Bombyx mori: one gene and its partners. Each later gene encodes a partner of the first gene's protein in a complex. Links are inferred from orthologs where the notes say so. Each region holds a gene or a part of one and is shown in the gene's direction. Other genes may lie near its edges.

Region 1 (4,809 bases):
AATATTATGCACATGTACCACAGATCCAATATATTTTCTATAAATTTGTACAATCATACATTTTTGTGCTGCTTTCATTTCTATGTTTTTAGCACATCTCCAAATAGCACTGGGAAAATGGAGTTTTTGGTGTTGAATTCGGTGGCTTGTTTCATAGTTAACTTTTAAGAGTTGCACCATATAATCCATATAAGATTTGCGGACCTTAAATAACAAAAAACTATTATTATCGAATTATGAATTTAAATTAATTAACTATTGTTTTATTTGTAAGGAAAGGAAACAAAACAATTGTATTCTATAAATGTGAGCAAGAGTTATCACTAACCAGCAACTGGGATGCAAGCATGCCAATTTTTTATCTCTAATACTGGCTTTGGGAGTTCATAAAAATTAAGGTTTTCGGGAGACGATTTAATGTAATTTCGTTTTAAACATTGTTTTATCTTATTTTTGTTCCGGTGTTTCGATGCATTCATTTTACCTTAGTAATTAAGTTACTCAACAGATAAAATTGCCATAGATTTGTAGTGAATCTAATTTTTTATAAATTTATTATTGAAAGTAATTATACCCGAGAAATTAGAAGGTGAGGTTCAGACGCATACGCCGGCAGAGGCATAATTATTTCGTCGTATTCACTAAGAAGTTGCTCCACAATTTGATCTTGATCATCATTATTGATTGCACCGTCCATTATGGTTACAGAGTTGAATTGACGACAGTAGTCGCGTATCGTTACTTTTAAAAACTACCCATAAATCTTCTATTAAATGTAGGTATTATCTATGCCCATCAAACTGGATTTTCATTGAAATTTTAAATAAGTAGCTACCCTCTAATGTTATGATATGAATTGAAATTTCGCACGGAAATTTAATGCATAACCAAAGACTACATACCTACCTACACTATAATCCTGACGGAAGAAACTCCACAATAACTAAGTGATTTAAAAAGGATTATCTTTATCTATGAATGGGCTTCGACCATTTTTTTTAAATAAAATCACATAACTGAATAGTGTCGCTGATTACAGGCAACCAATTCTTTATGAAAAATATTTTAAAATTACATACTAATACATTTAATAAATTTTTCAACCTTTGTTTGTAGTCAAATTACGTCCTCATTGGCTTTAATCAAATAGAAACTTTCGCCTATCTTTCTAAATGCTCTGTGTATGACTGTATGACTCTATTGTGAACTTTATTCCGATTTCCGATCATTTGGATAGACTCAAGTTTTTTCTAATTTCAAAGCATGAACGTAGTTACGACATGAACACTCTTAATATCACTTGATTAGAAATACGGCGTATAATTGGAACATTTTTTAGAGATTTTGTACTTATTAATTACATAAATGTTTTCCCTACCTATTCCAGGTTCTCGCGGATGGGTGAACTTACAACCTGCTCAATCTGAGAAAGTTTGTTAATACTAGCTCTAGCAAGAGGAGTGTTTCGCAGAATCTATCACCGGATCGGAATTTAAGCTGCCGTAATAACACGTTTAAGCATGACGAAATGAAATTCTAAATTAAATAAAATTAATCAATTCACACAATGCCGGGTTCCCGGTAAAAAAGTCATTTAATCACTTTTCCACACATTTTTTCAGAGATTGTGCTGTTTAAACTTCTACCCTCTTTTAGTCTGTCAGGTACTTACGTTGTTGTGTAAATTTCGCAGCTATTTTAATTAAGCGTGTAATCTATGCTCCATTTTACGTTGTAATCTAACTGACTTTTTGGCGGGAACGCGAGGAGTGAAGTTGTGTGATTTGATTAATTTTGTCTATTTAGTGTTTCTTCAGGTTTAAATAATAAATAATAATAAATAAATATTTACTAACAATCACGCCACGTTAACTGGTCCCGTGATAAGTTCGTAAAGAACTTGTGTTACAGGTACCAGATAACGGATTTAAATGTAAGATTTTTATTATACGCATACATATATTTAATATACATCCATAACCCTGGAAAAGACATTTATATTTATCATACAAATATCTTCCCTTGGCGGGATTCGAACCCGCGACCCCCTTGTGTAGTGACCATGTCACTTACCACTACACCAGATGGCCGTTATGTGTAATAACGGTGGTTTATTAACTGTTTAATATCTGTGAAAGTGCAAAAATGTGGGAAAATGAAATAAAGCCGCTGGACGTAACTTCTCGGGATCCTCCAAAAAGTCAACTGATAAAATCTCCGTAAATATTTGACTAAGATTTATTTCATCTCATATCATCTCATCTTATTTAATTTAATTTCATTCTGGTTGATTAATGTCTCAAATTAATCATCTTCACTTAATTTCATTTTACTCCATATAATTTTTCATAAAATTAAGAATATTAAATATTAAAGTAGGACATGACCTAAAAGTGTTAGTTACCAGGTCATAAAATCTCTTAAAAAAAGTAGTGAACATAGATTATACACTTCGTATTTCTAATTTCTAGTGTAAGCTAACGCTAAGCATCGCGTGTAAGCATTCTAAAAGTTCCTTGTTCAATAACGTAAACTACTTTTGATTACTATGGCGGATTCAACAGTTTCCGATGTGACTAAGATGAAAGTTGTTGAACTACGTAAAGAATTAAAATCACGTGGACTTTCATACGCCGGCGACAAAGCAGAGTTAATCGCTAGACTACAAGCTGCAATTATATCTCAAGATGAACACACCGACATCAACTTTGAATTTGACGAAATGGACTCGGACGGAGTTTTTGAAGACGAAGAAGTTAAAAGCCAAACAGACGTACTTGATGATACTGCCGTGGACACTTTAAACGAAGATTTAGTTCTTTCGGAACAGTCTTCTACTGCGACAATCGCTGTAGAAACAAAATCAACACGAACATTAAAACGCAAAACCAACGCAGAAACCAAAGATAAAAGTGCAGAAAATGCTAGTGCAAAGAAAATTGTGTTGAATAGACCCTCATCAATTTCACTTGTCAGTTCTAAAACTGTTGATGATCAAATTAATGAAAAATCTGTAGAGCCGAAAACGGCATCCGAAAGTAATAATGTCATTAAAATAAATACTGATCTAGATCCAAAGAAAAGGTTAGAGTTGCGTGCTAAAAGATTTGGTTTGCCTATTAAAATGTCCGAGTCTGAGAGAAAGGAAGCCAGGAAACAAAGGTTTAATCAAAATGATAATCAGAACACCTTCACTAGTACAGGGACGTTAAACGAAAATATGGAAAAACTTAGAAAGCGAGCAGAGAGGTTTGGTGAATCTGTTTCCAAAATAATGACAGATATTGAACTAAAGGAGAAATTGGAAAAACGTAAAGCCAAATTTGGTGCTGTTGCATAGAACATGTTTCTGATAATGGAAAGTCTACTCTAACAAATTAAGATTAGTATATAAGTATTGTTTTAAATAAATAAAACATTCTACTAAGTCAATATTTGTTAAGCATTTTAATTACATATTAAATCATTCGTTCATGTTATAGAATGGCAATTCTTGAAAATCATCAATTATGTGATGGATGACTTGGTTTTGGGCAGAATTTTTACTAATTTCATTAGTATTAAAATCTTGTGGTATATGTAGTGCATATTCCATAAAAGGTTCTTTATGAATATTAGCCCAGCGAATAGCTACATCTTTCAATAAACACTTTCGAAATGCCATACAATGCATGTGTTGAAATTTCTGATAACGAATTCTTGAAAAACCCATTAAGGCTAATGCATAACGCCAGCACTTCATTGTTTTGCTATTTGCTCCAACGTGTTTTGAATCCGGTGTGGTAACAGTAAGCAACCCTCCAGGTTTCAATATGTCATAGGCTTTTTGACATGCAGTTATTCGAAGCTGGGAAGTTGGAATATATTCTAATAAAAAACAAAATGTCACACTTTCATAGCTATTTTCTCCTATTTCTTTAACTTTATTGTCTTCAATTACGGTTCTAGTGCCAATTGGTGTATCTAAAAAATCACACTGTAATACAGACTCATTAGCAGGGCATAAATCAATAGCAAAAACATCAAAATAATTATATAACTTAAAAGGATTATAGCAACTGCCAACATCAACCAACTTCAGTACTTCTGAAAATGATTCTACAGTGTTTAATTTTAGTTGCATTTTATTTGCTATGTTTTGTTCTTGTTCACGGTAATGTAAGTAAGTTTTGTTTATGAAATATTCATAACAAATTTTTGCTGTCCAATCTATTCTTGATATAGTCTCACTGTGTTCCCAATATGTTGTAGCCAATTTTTCCATACACTGTGCATATTTTTTAAGGATCTCTGTATTTTTGCTATGTGCCTTCCAAGCTTTCTCGACCCCGATTTGACTTGTGGAGTTTCTTAGGGCAGAATGCACATCTTTTAGAAATGTAGATAAAGCTTTTTGTTCTTCGGATGCCATTCTATTAAAAAAGATACTTGAATTTTCAGAGCAAATCGATTGCTTTTATGTTCTATTTACACAGAGCAATAGTTACAATTATTAATTAACAGCTGTTGTGACTATATGTTGAAAGTAAAAGTAAAGTCGCGAGCAGTAATGCTGTATTGTTTTTTATTCTATAAGCATGATTAACGCTGATAGATTAGGTCGCACAAAATTAATACTTAATTACTCATAATATTATTAACATTAGGTTAAGTTTATATTATGACAGGATTTACAGGTATATACATAGTGTACATAGCTCTACTAATTTTTTTTCTTAAGGAATTTTATGATCTGGTAACTAATACCTTTAGGTCATGTCTTATTTTAATATAAATTCTTATTTTTATGAATAATGGTAATATGGAGTG
Region 2 (6,114 bases), on another chromosome or scaffold:
CCTCCATTGATCACATTGAATGCTGGTACAGGTAGAACAATGTCATTATTTCCAGCCAAATCAGCCAAGTGCTTGTACAGCGGAACATTCTTCTTGGCAGCACCAGCCTTAGCAACAGCTAGGGAAACTCCAAGGATAGCATTAGCACCCAGTTTGGATTTGTTCTCAGTGCCATCCAACTTAAGCATGAGTTCATCAATCTGTTAATTTAAAAGGTTTACATAGCTGACATATACTTTTTTAAATATATTTAATATTATTTTTAAACTATTAAATACATTTCTTGTTAATATGAAAATCCTATCAATATTAATTCCACTTCAATTGAATGTTAATACCACACTCAAGTTTTTTTTGAGTCCTTTCGAAATATCTACTCTTGTTTGAGATTTAAAAATAATTACCTCTCTCTGTTGGGTTACTTCGAGGTTGGCTTTTGTAAGTTCAGGAGCAATGAGTTCATTGATATTTTTGATTGCGGTCAAAACTCCCTTGCCATGATATTCACTCTTGATGTTATCTCTTAGTTCAAGAGCTTCATGAACACCAGTGGATGCACCAGAGGGTACAGCTGCCCGGAACAAGCCAAGCTCTGTTACCTGTTCACAGAATTAAAAGGTACTTTACATTTTTCAAAGAATTTCAGTAATTTAGTTGTTGATAATTTGTAACAAAAAACTTACCAGATCAACTTCCACAGTAGGGTTGCCACGAGAGTCAAAGATTTGACGAGCCTTGATTGATTTTATTACCATTTTTAATACTGAACTAGACTTTCTAGAAAAAAAAAAATTTTTCATTTTATTTGGAGAGCACTGGCAGTAGTTTAGAAGTCATCATGCCCCATCAACATGGTTAAGACACTTAAAGTATACCGGTATATCTATCTTGATAAAAGGACAAATGACTTTGTCCAATTTACAAAAATAAAAGATGTGTAAAATTGATGGAAATTTTGAATTTTCATTTAGTTCAGAAAAAAACTTGCAATCTCAATCTCAAAAAACTAATTTTTAATAGATCCTAAAGGTTAAATCAATACAAAATTACTATTTTATTGTATTTCTATATAATGCTTAGTATATGTGAATTTTAGATTTGGCAATTTAGTTTCAATTTTTTCAGATATCTTTTTTGTTCATCTGTTGATAGAAATGTATGGGACAAGTCATTAAATTGAAAGTATGATTTAAACCCAGTGACCTCAGGATCATCAGCCCACAGAAATTTACTGCTGTATATAAGCAAGGTTTACCACAATGACTGGTCTTACATAGCCCACATCCAGCAATTTACGCAACCTTTAAAATCTTAGACATAGAACCACCGAGACCTAAAATACAACCACCAATTTCCCATTTAGGATCTTGACACTCTTATTTGCTTAATAAAACACCCCATTATTTCAACTTATTACTACTTCTGATTTCCAAAGCACACAGCCTAGTCACGAGACTTACCTTGAATACTGCAAAAAGATTTATTGTATCGATTGAGGGTATTAAAGGATTAATTCTATTACTTTTACTTCTATTGCTAACGCTAATCGAATGAGATGCGCCGGCAAGGTCAAACATAGGTTGTACAATCATAATTCCTACTTTAAAATATTTTTTGATTTAAAATGTTTATTACAAATTCATTGCGCTCACGGGGTTTAAGAATTAGTCATTTTCAACGGATACAATGAAATTTACGTAAAATTGGATGGCTAATGATCGGCATCTAATTTTTTTGTATTGAAAATTTTTGCACTACTCCACTTTTTTGTAATCCATACACATCATAATAATAATAAATTACAAACCTTAAATTAAGCGATATCCTTATTTAACAAAATTGCACCTTACAAGCCGGGTTTGGCAAAATATAAGGATTTGGTTGCTGGCGCGATTACAGCAGTGATATTTTTGACCTTCTCAAGGTGGAAAGCAAAAACAAATGTCCTTTGTTTTGTGTACTTAAAGAGGCAAAGGGATCATAGTCATTTTATATAAAATAAACTAGATAACTAATCAACTGGGATGAAATTAAATGAAATGAGATGATATGGGATGAAATATTTATGATCTCAGTAAAATGGTGGTCATTTACTGAGATTCTTTCAGTGGACTTTTTGGAGGATCCCGAGGAGTTACGTCTAGCGACTTTGTTTCATTTTCCCACATTTGTGCCCTTTCGCAAATACTAAACAGGTAATAAACCACCATTATCATACATTCAAACCTGAAGAAATACCAAATAGACAAAATAAAACATATCACACAGCTTCACTCCTCGCATTCCCGCCAAAAAGTCGAAATCTATGAGCTGAGAGATGCACACATAGATTATCACATAGGTAATATTTGAGGATGCTTAACTGACATTTACTGACATTTATGGAGAGTTGCTATTGCTGAGTAGACGTGCGCTAATCATGTTCGGAACTGGATTGAACATGACATCGTTCTTTTGAGTGTCGGAACTAGTTCCAGTAAACATGTTCGCGGAACTGTTTAGTTTCACGAACATGTTAAGTCTAGTAGCTGTTTGTAGTTTGTAGCTGTTTAGTTCCGCGGACATATTAAGTCTAGTAGCTGTTTGAAGCTGTTTAGTTCCGCGGACATGTTAAGTCTAGTAACTGTTTGTAGTGTAGCGAATCACGTATTAAGTTATTATTAATTACACAATATTTTTCAAAAAAGGTATTAAAAATACAATTTTTTAAAAGCACTATATAAAAATAGATTGCCGCTTATGGCAATTATTATTGTAATATTATTTTGTAAGGTTTTTAGTTTTAGGTTCATTGTTACAGCTGGTTGCATAATTTATTAATGTACTGTAATTACTTTGTCATAATTTCAACTACTCTACTACTTTCATTATTTTTCAATGTAGGTATTGTACGATGCACCGAAAACTATAACCTATCAGTTGTTAATTAAAATACCACGTTATTCTGATATACAACGTAAATTGAGCTCGTTGTAGCCTTACAACCTTTTTCCCATAACCGAGATACCGAATAGCGAAAGTGGTGAATGTTTTAAAATTCTCGAATTTTGAATTATGATTTTCTAAGAAATGGTCTACAAACACTTAAGGTTAAGTGCTCGTAGGAATGATGCATGGTCAAGGTCAAAATCCATAGCAAAACATTTTAATTTATTCAACTATCGACTGTAACACGTAGGTCGTAGAGCATAACTTCAATATTAATAAAAATGTAATATGAAAGAGCTCCACACGCAGTTTCATGCACTCGCTCCATCTCACTCTCTCGTATTCGTGCCATATGTCGCCTTATCTCTTTACGTGGACTCGTGTCGGTTCGAGACTCGTTCGGGTGGACTCGCCGCGCCACGCCTCCGCGCCGCGCGGTACCTATGCTCTAATCATGTCCGCATGTCCGTCATGTTCAACGCGTTCGTAGTTCCTGCATAACAGTACACTTGGAATGGAAATGGAACTGTCTGAACATGTTAATTTTGACAACTCGGATTGAATGATATAGTTCCATATGAGGACATAGTTCCAGGAACTATTTAGGTCCGGAACTACGCATGTCTATTGCTGAGTAGGTACAATAATGAAGTATAATTTAAAAAAAATCATAGTTAAAGACTACCTTTCAAATTAAAGGCTAACATTAAAAGAAAAATAATTCAAACATTACCGTGAACGATGCTAGTAAAAGCTTTAATATATAAAAACAAATCCAGTGAATAGAGTGAATAGGCAGTAAGGTTGTAATTGTCTGTTTAAATTAGTGATTTTTTTAAAGTTCCAGACTTGGATGAAATCTGATAAACTTGAATAAAACTAAACATGGGAAAAGAAGAAGTAACGGCTGTTAAGAAACGGCGCAAATTAAATACAAGTACATCAAATGACGGAACAAAGCCAGTTCCCGTTGATGTATACAAGGTATTGACCAAAATATATAAGATGTAACATAACCTCAAGACTCATTATTCTGTACCATAAATATGTATAATAATGTAAATTTAAGTACATAGTTCTACTAATAAATGAGAATTTATATTTGTGGCTCCTGGTTTAGCAAGCTGTTGCTTTTATATTTTCTGTTGAAGTTTTTGTTTCAGTTTTAACTTATTATTAACAAAAATAAAAATTAAGTGAATCCTGTTCGTGAAATATCTTGTGATCTTCAAAACAAGTTTAATATTAACACTTAGAGAAGTTGTAAACTGAACAAGATCCCAGTACACCAAAAAAATTGTCTTTATTTTTCAAGATTCTTCATTCATTACAAAATGTGTTTTAAATGGATTGTTCCAGCGTGTTGTTGAATTTGAAGAAGCTGAAGCTCATCTGCGTCCAGCTGATAAGGATGCTGCCTTTTTCAATAAAACATGCCAAGACATAAGGCAACTTTTTAAAGAGATTGCAGAGTTAAAAACTAAAGAAACATTGGAGGTATGCCACTTTTCAATTAATAGTTAATGCAGGACATAATAAGAGTCGGGTCCTACCTCGAGAACAGGATGGCCGTGTGCACCGGGCACTGTGGGGCGGTGCTCCATTTTCCCGTCGAGCGTGGTGTCCCACAGGGGTCGGTCCTTGGCCCTCTCTTGTGGAATGTCGGCTACGAACTGGGTCCTGCGGGGTGCCCTTAGCACTCCTCTCCCGGGTCTGAGCGTAGCTTGTTACACGGACGACACTTTGGTCGTTACCCGGGGGAGGGACATCTTTCCTGTGTATGGGTGGCCTTCGTCGTCTGCAGGAGTATCGCGTTCTGACCCGGCAGGCTGGTTCTGGTCCAGCTGGGTATCCCGGAACACCAGCGGCATCGCCCGGGCGGCCTGGCAGGGCTGTCGTACCGCGGAGACCGGCTTCGTTGTCGTCGACTGTCGCATTGAGGACTCGTCGATCCGGCGTCTTCAGGGTGGCGTCGCGTGTCTGGTTGTAGTGTTGACTACCAGATCGTAAAGTCCCACACCCCCCTAGACGCGGGGACCTCGTAGGAGGTTCGGCACCCGGCTCGACAAATAAAAAAAAAAAATGGACATGATTAGATTATATTATGAATTGTAATTAATGTTAAATAATATAAAATATGGAACAATGCAATTAAGGCAAAAGTTATAATTACAGGCTAAAGAAAAGATAAATGCAAAAAGAGTGGAAGCTTCATTACTGCTGGTTGCGTTAAAGAAATTAAATCGCCTGGAGAAAGTACGAACTAGAGCTGGTCGTGATGCGCTCCATAAAGAGAAACAGAGAGTTGATTCCACACATTTACTGTTACAAAATTTACTTTACGAAGCAGATCACTTAAACAAAGAAGTAACTAAATGTTTACAATTCAAATCTAAAGATGAAGAAATAGATCTTGTGCCTCTTGAAGAATTCTATAAAAATGCACCTCCTGATATTATTAGATCAGTAAGTATGTTTTCACAGTGTGTAACTGATATCTGAATGTACATATTTTAACCGTTTCAGCTCTGAATATTTTTTTAGTTTTGTCCCTAAAATGCTGTAGGTAGCTAAAATCCTGAATTTCTTTTAAATATTGAAGCCAAACTTGAATTGCAATAATATAAACAGTTCAAAACATATACATGCACTCAGGACCAAGAGCTTACCTAAGTTTTTGGGCGATAGCATTGCATCCCAATTGTCATTTTATACATTAAAGCGCTATCGTGCTGAGTAGCATCATAACGGTTAGTAGAAAGTTAGGCATGACAGAAGTATGACTGCTTTTAATCTGTCCTGGTGAGGGTGCCAGTCATATGATTCACATTGTTTCCCCTTACAAATATACATATGACATATTCCACACATATCTCAGACACTTGATACTGAGTACTTGTAACTTTGATACTGATCAGATGAGTTGTTGCAGTAATGGTACTGACAAATTCAACAATATGACAATGTGTAAAATTTTAGGAGGTCACAAAGGCTGATGAACATCAATTACAATTAGCCCGACTGGAGTGGGAGTTACGTCAACGTCGTGAATTATCTGAAGCCTGTAATGAACTCATATCTTCCAAGGAACGAGTAGCAGCTGCCATTGCTGCTGCACGTTCTAGACTTGATGCATTGGCTCCACATCTGAAAGATGTCTTGAAATCCACTAAACCTTTGCAAGAA
Region 3 (5,562 bases), on another chromosome or scaffold:
GAACTGCTCGCGGTCAAAAAGATGATCCGTTACATTTTGAGGCACTAACCGTTTTGGATACCGCAATATTACCGGCTCTTACACTGATGGAAGGGAATTGTTGTATGGCTGAAGAGGTGTACACATTACTTAAGTTATATCCATATCAGTGCAGGTAAAGAATAATTAATAACTAATAAAATATGCTAAATTACATAAATCTTGATGTTTATTTTATTTTGCAAACTTATTTAAGATACTGTCTCTATGCGCGTTGGAAAAATGAGGCTGGCGAACGAATACCTGCTCTCATTCGTGTCCGGGGGAACTCATTGCAGAAAATAAAACACATAATGAAACGAGTATCCAAAGAGAATATCAAGCCCCAAGGTCGTCTCATCGGGAAACTGTCGCACGCCGCCCCGGCCTTTCTGTTTGATTACGTGCTCTTGCAGGTAATTGGCATTCAGTCCATAAAACAGTTTTACTTCTTCCTTTAATGTTTTATGAATGTGCTATAAAACAATAATTTCTGTTCCAGATACAAACATACGACAATCTGATAGGACCAGTAGTAGAATCCATGAAATATTTGACGTCTCTATCTTTAGATGTTCTGGGATACTGTTTAGTTGAGGCTTTAGGCTCTCGACGTTCGACGCCACCTGCGTGGCTACAAGCACTAGCCTCGTTCGCCGGGGCAGCCTTCAAGAAACACAATATTGAGTTAACTGCTCTTTTGCAGTTTGTTGCTAATCGACTCAAAGCTCAACAGAGGTATGCATTCGGTTACAAAGTATTGTTAGGCGCTGGTGTTCGGAATAAATAAAACTTCCACCGAAGTACAAATTCAAATTCTATTTAACACTTAAAACACTTACACTTCAGGTAATCCGTTCGCCGTTTCGCTTCGAGTAGATTCGGTTACTAATTAATTCTGGGTCATCTCTGCAATGCTTTTATAGTAGATACCACATCCCTAGAATTTTGTTATCGAGAACATACCTGACAAGTCGAGTAGTTTCAATATGTGCTATAATATGTGCTATTTGACTATAGATAGCGTTGTACTTCTTGAGCGTTCTCGATTTTATAAGTTCTTTTAATATTCGTTTCTGCTATTCGACGATAGATGGCGATGCTCTTACCGGCGTAACAGTATGAACAACGAAGATTCGCAATGTAATAAAAATCATATATTTTCAGTCAAGACCTGATAGTATTAAAAGAAATAGTACAAAAAATGGCCGGTATAGAAGCTGCTGAGGAAATGACACCCGAGCAGTTAGAGGCTATGGCAGGAGGTGAACTACTTAAAGGAGAGGTAAAAAAATATTAAGCTGAAGCTAAATCTGATTTTTTGTTCAGTTATTCAAATCACACATTTGTACAGGCTGGTTACTTTTCACAAGTGCGTAACACGAGACGCTCTTCTGCGCGACTGAAAGATGCCATAGTCGGAAACAACTTAGACATATCTCTTTGTATATTGGCGGCGCAACAGAGACATTGTTGTGTTTGGAAAGGTAAATGAATACATCAAATAATACAGTGCTTTTGAGTGAATAATAAGTAAATAAAATATATTGTTATTCCCAGAATACGAAGATGACATTCAAATAAGTGGCGAACCTCCAGGGTCCCAGCTAAAGGTGGTGGGTAGATTGGCAGACCAATGTCAGGATGCTCTGGTTCAGCTTGGTACATTCTTAGCATCGTCACATGCTCCCGATGAATATGCGGCGAGGCTGCCATCGTTACAGGTAATTAATTGAATTCCTAATAAAGTTAATGAGTAGTTACTGCTATTAGGGAGCATAGTGAAGTGTCACCATCCTTCCCATTGCGACCTCTGAACAGTCTTGCAGAAGGGTGGTGCAGCCGTTACATACAATACAATTAAGACTTTATCTCAAGTTGGTGTAATGCATTGATATTGTGCTTAACGGGCTTCGGTTGTAACTACTTCGTACCAGGTGCATTGTGAGCTCGTCGGCCATGAGTAAGACAGAGAGTTAGTATTATAGTAACGCTCAGAAGAGTCAATACTACGAGGCAGTTGTAAACTTTTTGTTAATTTTAGTTTATTTAAATTTGGTTAATTTTACTTAGGAACTGCTGCGTGATTACCATGTAGATGCAGATGTCGCATTCTTTTTGCATCGTCCAGTTATAAACCAAAAGATATCCGCCAAGTTGGAATCTTTACGTAAAGCATCGGACAGCAAATCGGATTCAATAGAGAAGATTATAGAAAGATACAATGTGGCATCAAAGGAAGCCTTGGAGCCTATTGTATCGTCGATACAACCGATGCTGCCTGCGAGGGTTTTAGAAGACATTTCGCCTGAGTTTTACGTTACATTCTGGTTTGTAGAAAAGTTAATAAATAATTTTTATTTAGTACGATTAGAGACATCTGTTTTTAAGTTAAAATAATTTTGTTAGGTCATTATCCATGTACGATCTTCGAGTGCCGGTCGAAAGTTACGAGAGGGAAATAGAACGCTTAAAAACAGCAGCAGCTAACGTCAGCAAGGATTCGTCTCAAGGAACCAAAGTTAAGAAAGAACAGGAACGTTTCAATACGCTCATCGAAAAACTACAGGTAAGATATAAATATTAATGTTTCTTATTTTAATAAAAACTAACAAAGGATATCAACTCAAGGGCATTCATAAATGTTGAACTTACTGATTGTACATTAACAATTCTTAATTCAATTGGAATGAAATCTCGCACAGATTATTCCAGTGTTTATGTATATTGCCTTTTTTCCTTATTGTCCTTGTCTATAAGTTTTTTGCACAAACATTTAATAATATTAAATTACCAAAAATTAAAAAAAATTCTAATTTATGCAGAGTATTACATATATATTCTGCACACAGACTGAAAACAGTTTTTTTTACAGTTATTTGGCCAAATATATGGTATTCAGCCTTGTCCGTAGTTGGCCCGTGAGATGCGTTAAATACTCCCAGAAATGTTTACCTCATCCTTTTTCTTTTTTTTTATTGTCCGAGCAGGCAGACGAGCTTACGGCCCGTAAGTGGTTACCGTCGCTCATGGACGTCAGCAATACCAAAAGTTCCACATGGTACTGGTTTTTTCTCCTACCTATTCTGATAGTCTTGAGAGGCTATTTCCGCTACACCCTAACGTGTGTAGGTGACCCACTGAGAAGATCCGGCGAGAAACTCAGTGGGCAAATGGTACTGTCGTGACAGATGTCACCTACCTTAGATTAGACTAGAGGCGGAAGTGTCAGTAAGCATTTGGTCTGCAGGAGGAGCGGCGCCGACAGGCCGCGCACGTGGCGGCGGTGCGGGCGCGGCTGGCGCGCGAGTGCGAGGACTGGTTCCCGGCGCGGGCGGTCCGCTCCGCCAAGAACGAGACCGTGACGCGGCTCATGCAGCTGTGCATATTCCCGCGCTGCGTGTTCACGGCGGCCGATGCCCTCTACTGCGCCGAGTTCGTGCATACCGTGCACTCTCTGAAGACTCCCAATTTCTCCACTCTTCTGTGTTATGATAGAGTGAGTAGACTGCGAAGAAATTATTATTATTTTTGCACATTTAAAATCATACAAACCGTTTTTTTATTTTAAACAATAGTTTGCGACACCAGCGCCGTACACATCATTAATCCTTCGAGCTGTTTCTGCAGCACTGGTGCCACGGTAGAACTCGTACTCGTAAATATACCGATATTTCATGTTTTCCATTGTGCGGTAATATGCGACGCCAAACAAAAAAAAATTTATGAGGAAAAAACAAATGAATGACTGTTTTCAAAACCTACATGTACCAGCTAAATGAATTTATAAATTTGAATTTGAAATTCTTAACCAAAGAGGAGATATTACAGATCAAAGTGATCAATACGAAAAAACGATAATTTCATATGTAAGGACCTAATATATACAACGTTTTGCGAAAGAGTTTAATTAGGTACTCAATAAATTTATTAATAGTGTTTCAAGAGGTTTGTTACCCTTCAGGTTCATCATCGACTCCGCATCTCTCAAGTTCATGATGATAAAATATAAAATTAGAAGTGAGTTTAAATTCATTTTAAAGAAAACACTACATTCATGCAAAGTACAAGTCAAATTATTAGATAGCATACAATACTAACTTTGGCAAATTGTAAATCATTCGTCATCTTGTGCGATGCATTTCGGATTATGTACAAATTACGATCAATCGACCATAGATGGCGATAGAAGCTTTAGGAGCAAGTGGGAAACGTGCGGCAAAGCGTTGTCGAGATTTATTATTAATGAATATTAAGACATTTATCAAGTGATTAATTTTTTTTTTATTACGATTGCTAAATTTTTCTATTTTAATTATAAGAGTTTTTTTTTGTTGCTTAGATGGTGGATGAGCTCACAGCCCACTTGGTGTTAAGGTGTTACTGGACATTAGATAGACATTTACGACTTAAATGCGCCACCCACCTTGAGATATCAGTTCTAATGTCTCAGTATAGTTACAACAGCTGCCCCGCCGTTCAAACAGGAACGCTTGCTGCTTCACGGCAGAAATAGGCAGGGTGGTGGTACCTAGCCGTGCGGATTGCGAAGACATATTTGACTGAAAAATGAATTTGCCCGCAGTTGTTTTGCGACATCACGTATTCGGTGATGTCTTGCACGGAGGCGGAGGCGGCGCGGTACGGCACGTTCCTCTGCAAGGTGCTGACGACCGCCATGCGCTGGCACGCCGACAAGGACGCCTTCCACCGAGAGTGCGCGCACTACCCCGGCTTCGTCACCAAGTACCGCGTCTCCAAGCAGTTCACTGAAGCTAATGATCATGTCGGATATGAAAACTACAGGTGGACTACATTTCTGCAATACTGTGATCTGATCTTACTGCATGATTAATGTGTTTGCATGAAAATGCTTAAGTCTGAATTGATAAAGTGGTAGACACAAAATCATGAAAGCTTTCGAAAAAGCAACCGAAAATCTTCTGGTGATCTAATATGTTAATATAAACTTATATCGTTCACTCTTTGAATACTTCAAATTAATTCGTAAAAAAATCGATAACTCGTAATCGATACTTCGAATGTTCACTAATCATGTAATCGGTTTTCAGGCACGTGTGCCACAAATGGCATTATAAAATAACCAAAGCAATGGTTGTTTGCTTGGATTCAGGCGACTACGTGCAAATACGTAACGCCCTCATAGTTCTAATAAGAGTCTTACCTCATTTTCCTGTTCTGGCTAAGCTAAGTCAAATTATCGAAAAGAAAATTGATAAGGTATTATTTGGTATCGTACGTTTAACCAAATTTCCAACAAGACAAAGTAAATCTTAACAGTGATTATTTGCAGGTTAAGGAACAAGAGAAAATACAAAGACAAGATCTTTATGTGTTAGCAACGGTCTACAGTGGACAGCTACGGAACAAGTCCTCGAATATGATGAATGAAGCTGATTTCCATCAGGTAACATTTTGCTATCATCTATAGGCGGATTTGTACAAAGACAGGTTCTCGATAGTGAAATGACGACAAGTAGTACAGAAGAGACTTTCCTAATATAAACTTTGGGTTTGTCACTT
Region 4 (5,370 bases), on another chromosome or scaffold:
ACAGTGTAATAGTCAGCAGACAGGAATGATAGATGCAATAAAATAGACCCAGCATCTCTCAGCATAAAACATTGTAATATCTGGAATATTGTTTGTACTGTGCAGTAGCTTCCCAATTGCACAATCGTCTCTAACTCATACCAGTTAAAGTTCATCAATTCAAGGAATTCCAGAAAGAATGTTTGAGTGCAAGATACAAAGCTACCCACAATACCGAGGATCGCTAAATAGTCTGAGCATGTATGAGTTTTGAGCATCAGTTCTTGAAGCACTGTGACTGTTGCAAACAATAATGATCCACCAAGGCATAGCATATCGCCTACTAGTTGATTTTTACCTGAAAAATATCAAATTCATTTTCAGAATATTTTAACTTATTTCAGTAACTGCATGATTTAATAAAGGGTACACATGCATCAAATAAACACAACAAGTACTTCAATTACATTATTAATTACGACAAAAACATTGTAATACACAAAAAAATATTACTCCAATCAAAGTAATTAAATTATTTTCCAAGCAATTTAAAGTAATATTCAATTATGCTAGCAAAAGCTAGGACAACTTAAGTTGGCATTGCACTAGTATAACCTGGTAACCACTTTATAACAGTAACCACTCTACTGTGTGTTTATTGTCTAATTAGATTCACTCATCAGGGACATCAATAAAAATGTTACCAATCTACCTAAGAATGAAAGAATGTTACCATCAGTAGGAGCACCCTCAACATCAGCCCACACAACGCAGACTACAGCCATCAGGCCAAGGGTGGCTCCAGCAACATGAGAAACACCAAGTCTCTGACCACTCCAAGCACCACCGACCAGTGCTGCACCAACACCACTGCATGCTAACAGCTGTCAGCTCAACACTGATGTAAACCTCTGTGACATGACTAGCAGCCAGCCAGCTTCCACGTCAAGAACACAGGCAATGATGAGTACCCACCATCTTCTAACAACAAAATTCATTTCATTAGTTGCATTGCCCAATTAACTACTAAATATGGAATCTTTTATTGAAATGAAATACATGATTTCTATACCTAGGTATGTAATTATTTTTTTGTTTCATCTCTTTTTTAAGTAGAAATACTTGATTATTATTTAACATTTACTTTTTTATTTAACTATCTATTCAGACAGTCATCTTTGAATTGAACATTGAAAATTTAAAGGTTAATTAGGCCAGCTACCATTCCATTTCTTGTATTAATAAAGAAAAAAGCAAAACACACAACAGAATGCACAGAGCTTTCCAACATGTCACAGCTGATACTAGCTTGAATTAAGAAATGTTTTTATACTTTATTTTGCTGACTAATAAAAAGAGTAGAGCGGGAAGTTATCCCAAAGCAAAAGAATAAGAGAAAATTATCTCGATAAATGTAACATTTTATAGTTAGATTTAAATATTGGTTACTTCCACATTTGTAGTAAGAAGATATTAAGAAAACTTAGCGCACTCACCATTGAACATAAGATAGTAATAGTACCTAGTAAGTTTAATTATTTTAGTCTTGTCTTATACTTCTTTCAATAATAGAACTGGTTTAAAAGACGATATTTTTCATGTCTTAAAATTGAATTGGAACTTACTTCGTTAGCTTCTCCAGCCCGGTACAAAGTAGGCTCGGGGTAAAGAGTACAAACAGTACTAAATACGGCACGACCAGCTGCCCCGTGATAGGAAACTGCCAGGTTGCGCTTTGTAACATTGTTGTTAATATACATTTGCCGCTCAGAAATAAGGATAACACTTGACCAAGCAGTATGCTCCTCCACACTTTCCTGAAAATGCACACTTAGTTAGTTTAAGGACGTTTACCCAAAAAATATTTTATTTATTTATTTATTGATACTAGCCATCGCCCAAGTTCCGAGAAATAAATCTCGACTTTATCACTGAAACTTGACGTTTCCATTGTTTCAGTGAAAGATATTCCGAAAGTTTACTCAGCTAATTTACTGTTAAAATAGATTCAATAGTTTAAAGGGTTTAATATAGCAGTTATTCATCATTTCCTGAACAATGGATCGAAATTCGAAAGGCAAAACAACATGTGAATTGTGGTTGTGACATCTGTTTTTTTTTCTTGTTTGGCAGGCATCTCATAATAGTCTGTGGTTTTCTTTCGTCCATTGAATGAGCAAAGGGAAAATAGCCGATCAAAATCTTTTAATTAAAATAAAAAGGTTAAGCTTTGTGTTCTTAAAATCTTAAGAATTTAATCAGCGTTCAATTAAATTTTGAGATCTCAAGAAACCACGGTCAGCAATTTTGTTTCAATCAATTTTGACAGGAATGTGAAATAGTAAAGTTGTAATACTGTGTGAATGTTTTATTTAGTTTAGTTTTCTTCATCTTTAAATATAAAAATAGTTATCGTCTTATTTATATCATTTCATTTTTTATGCAACAGATATGATTTCAGGCTTTGTCGTAAAATATTTAGATAAAAAGAAGAGCATTTTTAACTTATGAGAATGTCTCCTTTGCCTATGAGTTGGATAAAAAAAACTTTTTTTTTATTAATAATTTAACCTGCCAAAATTTGGAGATAAAATATTTTTAATTTTTCTTGATTTTTGTAAATAAAACACACAAGTTAGCACTTACATATAAAGAACAAGGATAAATTTGAATTCGCTTATGATAAGATTATTTTGTAGAATAAAAACATTACCTAACAATTTATAAGGCAAACTCGGACGAGATCATAATTTCATTTGAATTTTACTCCAAACATAATGGGTGACGGTAAATAACTTTACCTAAGAATACAAAACTACTCAAAAACAAATACTATTTCAATACTCATTGGTTATTTCCAGAAGATGTGATTCGTAGAAGACTTCTGATCGACGGTGACGGTACTGGAGACGACAGGAGACTGAATGTACTTTTAAAAACTTTGATAAAATGGTGCAATACAACGGATGACAAACCGGAAGAAAGGTTGGTTTTAATAAATAGTACCGTATTAGGACGTATTGTGAGCTCACATGCGTAAACACTGTTCCACTTCCGAATTATCATAGCTTCCGCATTGATCATAGCTTCCAATTTGAAGGGTAGAATTGCCATTGTAAATTCAATTGAAACTTCTATCTCGTGTCCCAAAGGTTCTGGTAAGCATTTAATACCAGCAGGGAAATGTTGGCATCTGTTTATCTATAATAAAGAGCCTTAATATTCAATTAAGTGTTCATTAACCTTTTCATTTATTCCCCATATACATTTGTTGTTTTATTATGAGAATAAAAATCTGCAGTCAAAATGTAAGTTTTTGTAGTTCCAGAATATGTAATACGATTAAGATTTCTCGTTTTAGTAAAGCTACTCATGATCGTATGTTAGCTCAACTGGCACAATGCGAATTTGCTGTCACAAAATCGCAACTCGGTTCTGAAATGATGGCTGCTGAATTAAAAAGCTACGAAGCACTCTCGAAAATTCTAGAAAGCGGAATAGAGGTGGCCAAAGAGAACATACAGAAGAGCAAAACAGATTTAGCACAAGCAAAGACTGTCAGAAAAAACAGAATAGAATATGATGTCTTGGCTAAGGTTATCAGTGAACAGCCTGATCGTAAGGAAACCTCTGAGAGATTGAGCACTCTGAAGACTGAACTAGCAAACTTGGAAACCACCAAACAGCAATTGGAAAGTCGGTTAGCATTACGAAAGAAACAATTTCATGTGCTTGTAACTTCAATACATCAATTACAAGCATTATTAGATGAACTAGATGATGCAGAGACTATTTGTGATGATGTTGATATGAAAGAAATATCAAATGAATCATAATAATGAGTGATGTATTAGAGTATAAGATTATTTCTCTATGTGAGATTTCTAATAAAGTATGAATTTTCTACTTGATTTTTTGTTTACATTTTCAGTACTGTAAAATGGGGAGAATTGGGACACTTTTTAAGTTCGACATTGATTTGTATAGTTTTTTTTTGTTTTAGTAATAAAACGGAGATCATAATGGTTCTGGAGGCTTAAATATTTATATACAATGCGTTACTATACATTGTTCACTACAAAAATACACAAAAACTGAAAAAAATAGCTTGACCCCATTCACCTTGGCTTTGGGGTTGAATCAGGTTACGTAGGGGCCCGCGATCTGGACGGGACCTTCAGCCCGCAATGATTGCGTGCTGTGGGTCTCGTCTGCGGGGGAGATGCTGGACTTCCACCAGGCGCGTCCGTGGGTGGCGGATCACGGGATCCTCTGGGCGACATTCCCAGAGGTATGGTCCGATCTTTTTCGTTGCGAGGATTCTTAGGTTTAGGATTAGGTTTAGATGTAGGTTAAAGTCCTAGGTTTAGGATTAGGATAGTTTAGCTAGGCTTTGCCTGGTAGATCCTTTGTTGTTTTCATGACTTGTCCAAAAGTCACACTACATAGTGATCTAATGCAAACATTAAATTATGAATCGCAAATACCTTTTTTTTGTTTTAAATGGTTTCTATAAGGTTTACCTACGGTATGTAATCAAGTCGTGAAAGTGTTGTCACATCAAAAATCCCAGAAAATATCTGGTTGAAAGAAATAGCAAAAAATTTATAATAGAATACCAAACTTCCAATAAAAAAGCTAACCGGTGGTGATCGAGATATATGATTAATTGTTAAAAAGTGTTCCGTCGTTTGTGGTCTTTACAACGCCATAGGGACAGCCAAATGGCTACCATCCATTCAGAACTACAACCGCTTAACACTAGATAGATCGTAAATTCTTTGGACGATGTACACCAATAAATAGAAAACACGCCCTATTTAAGCAAACATTAAATGGTTTAAATTAATTTGTCATCAATAAAGTGCTTTATAATCGTCAGTAGACCGTGACCACTAAGGCTGTAAATCTTCGAAACATAGGAAATAGTATAATAACAGAAAAAAGTCAGATTAAACCTTAAAAGTAGTTGTAGTTGTGTCTGCGATTCGCGAAAACTTTTCTCTGCCTATTCGCTGAAAGCTTAAGAAGCTATTCCAGCTAAGTGCGGACGGTTCGGTGAGCTCACAGGCTCAATCCGAGAGAATTGGCTAACACTAGCTTTAGCAAGAGTAGTGCTTCGCTGAATTCACGACCTGATTGCGATCCATTGAGAAGGTCCGGCGAGAAACTCAGTGGGCTGTGTCTATGGGGCAAAAACTGAATAATATACTACAATTATTTCAAGGTGAAACAGCAGAGTTAGAGTAGTTAAGTTCGCAACAGACCTAATCTGTGTTGCGTGTCGAAAGCCTCATTAAGCGCAGGTACTAAGTAGGTATAGTATATGTAGTATATGTATAATATATTTATGTATACGAGTATTTACCTAAATAATGATTTAAGGTACAC

The links. Proteins that work in one complex are often made in the same cells at the same time.
Region 2: SAP domain-containing ribonucleoprotein (region 1) and THO complex subunit 5 homolog share a complex: the UniProt entries of both Homo sapiens proteins name them as parts of the transcription/export (TREX) complex. The link is inferred for Bombyx mori from reciprocal best matches to the Homo sapiens genes SARNP and THOC5.
Region 3: SAP domain-containing ribonucleoprotein (region 1) and THO complex subunit 2 share a complex: the UniProt entries of both Homo sapiens proteins name them as parts of the transcription/export (TREX) complex. The link is inferred for Bombyx mori from reciprocal best matches to the Homo sapiens genes SARNP and THOC2.
Region 4: SAP domain-containing ribonucleoprotein (region 1) and THO complex subunit 7 homolog share a complex: the UniProt entries of both Homo sapiens proteins name them as parts of the transcription/export (TREX) complex. The link is inferred for Bombyx mori from reciprocal best matches to the Homo sapiens genes SARNP and THOC7.

The regions. Positions count from the first base shown.
Region 1 is NC_085113.1:6,729,866-6,734,674, forward strand, and holds SAP domain-containing ribonucleoprotein, read left to right. Parts: upstream 1-2,548; coding exon 2,549-3,340; 3' UTR 3,341-3,432; downstream 3,433-4,809. Other genes in the region: uncharacterized protein LOC101742851, read right to left, coding at 19-204, 575-697; S-adenosylmethionine sensor upstream of mTORC1, read right to left, coding at 3,464-4,411. UniProt on the Homo sapiens protein: Binds both single-stranded and double-stranded DNA with higher affinity for the single-stranded form. Specifically binds to scaffold/matrix attachment region DNA. Also binds single-stranded RNA. Enhances RNA unwinding activity of DDX39A.
Region 2 is NC_085114.1:10,649,274-10,655,387, reverse strand, and holds the start of THO complex subunit 5 homolog, read left to right. Parts: upstream 1-2,334; 5' UTR 2,335-2,402; intron 2,403-2,421; exon of another isoform or gene 2,422-2,687; intron 2,688-3,064; exon of another isoform or gene 3,065-3,675; intron 3,676-3,755; exon of another isoform or gene 3,756-3,769; 5' UTR 3,770-3,813; coding exon 3,814-3,912; intron 3,913-4,287; coding exon 4,288-4,425; intron 4,426-5,103; coding exon 5,104-5,394; intron 5,395-5,907; coding exon 5,908-6,114. UniProt on the Homo sapiens protein: Component of the THO subcomplex of the TREX complex which is thought to couple mRNA transcription, processing and nuclear export, and which specifically associates with spliced mRNA and not with unspliced pre-mRNA.
Region 3 is NC_085119.1:9,004,158-9,009,719, forward strand, and holds part of THO complex subunit 2, read left to right. Parts: coding exon 1-154; intron 155-235; coding exon 236-434; intron 435-520; coding exon 521-756; intron 757-1,185; coding exon 1,186-1,303; intron 1,304-1,372; coding exon 1,373-1,505; intron 1,506-1,578; coding exon 1,579-1,742; intron 1,743-2,091; coding exon 2,092-2,348; intron 2,349-2,427; coding exon 2,428-2,587; intron 2,588-3,268; coding exon 3,269-3,517; intron 3,518-4,603; coding exon 4,604-4,824; intron 4,825-5,090; coding exon 5,091-5,259; intron 5,260-5,332; coding exon 5,333-5,446; intron 5,447-5,562. UniProt on the Homo sapiens protein: Component of the THO subcomplex of the TREX complex which is thought to couple mRNA transcription, processing and nuclear export, and which specifically associates with spliced mRNA and not with unspliced pre-mRNA.
Region 4 is NC_085129.1:4,006,727-4,012,096, forward strand, and holds THO complex subunit 7 homolog, read left to right. Parts: upstream 1-2,293; 5' UTR 2,294-2,756; coding exon 2,757-2,766; intron 2,767-2,840; coding exon 2,841-2,964; intron 2,965-3,340; coding exon 3,341-3,815; 3' UTR 3,816-3,890; downstream 3,891-5,370. Other genes in the region: solute carrier family 35 member F1, read right to left, coding at 1-337, 713-764. UniProt on the Homo sapiens protein: Component of the THO subcomplex of the TREX complex which is thought to couple mRNA transcription, processing and nuclear export, and which specifically associates with spliced mRNA and not with unspliced pre-mRNA.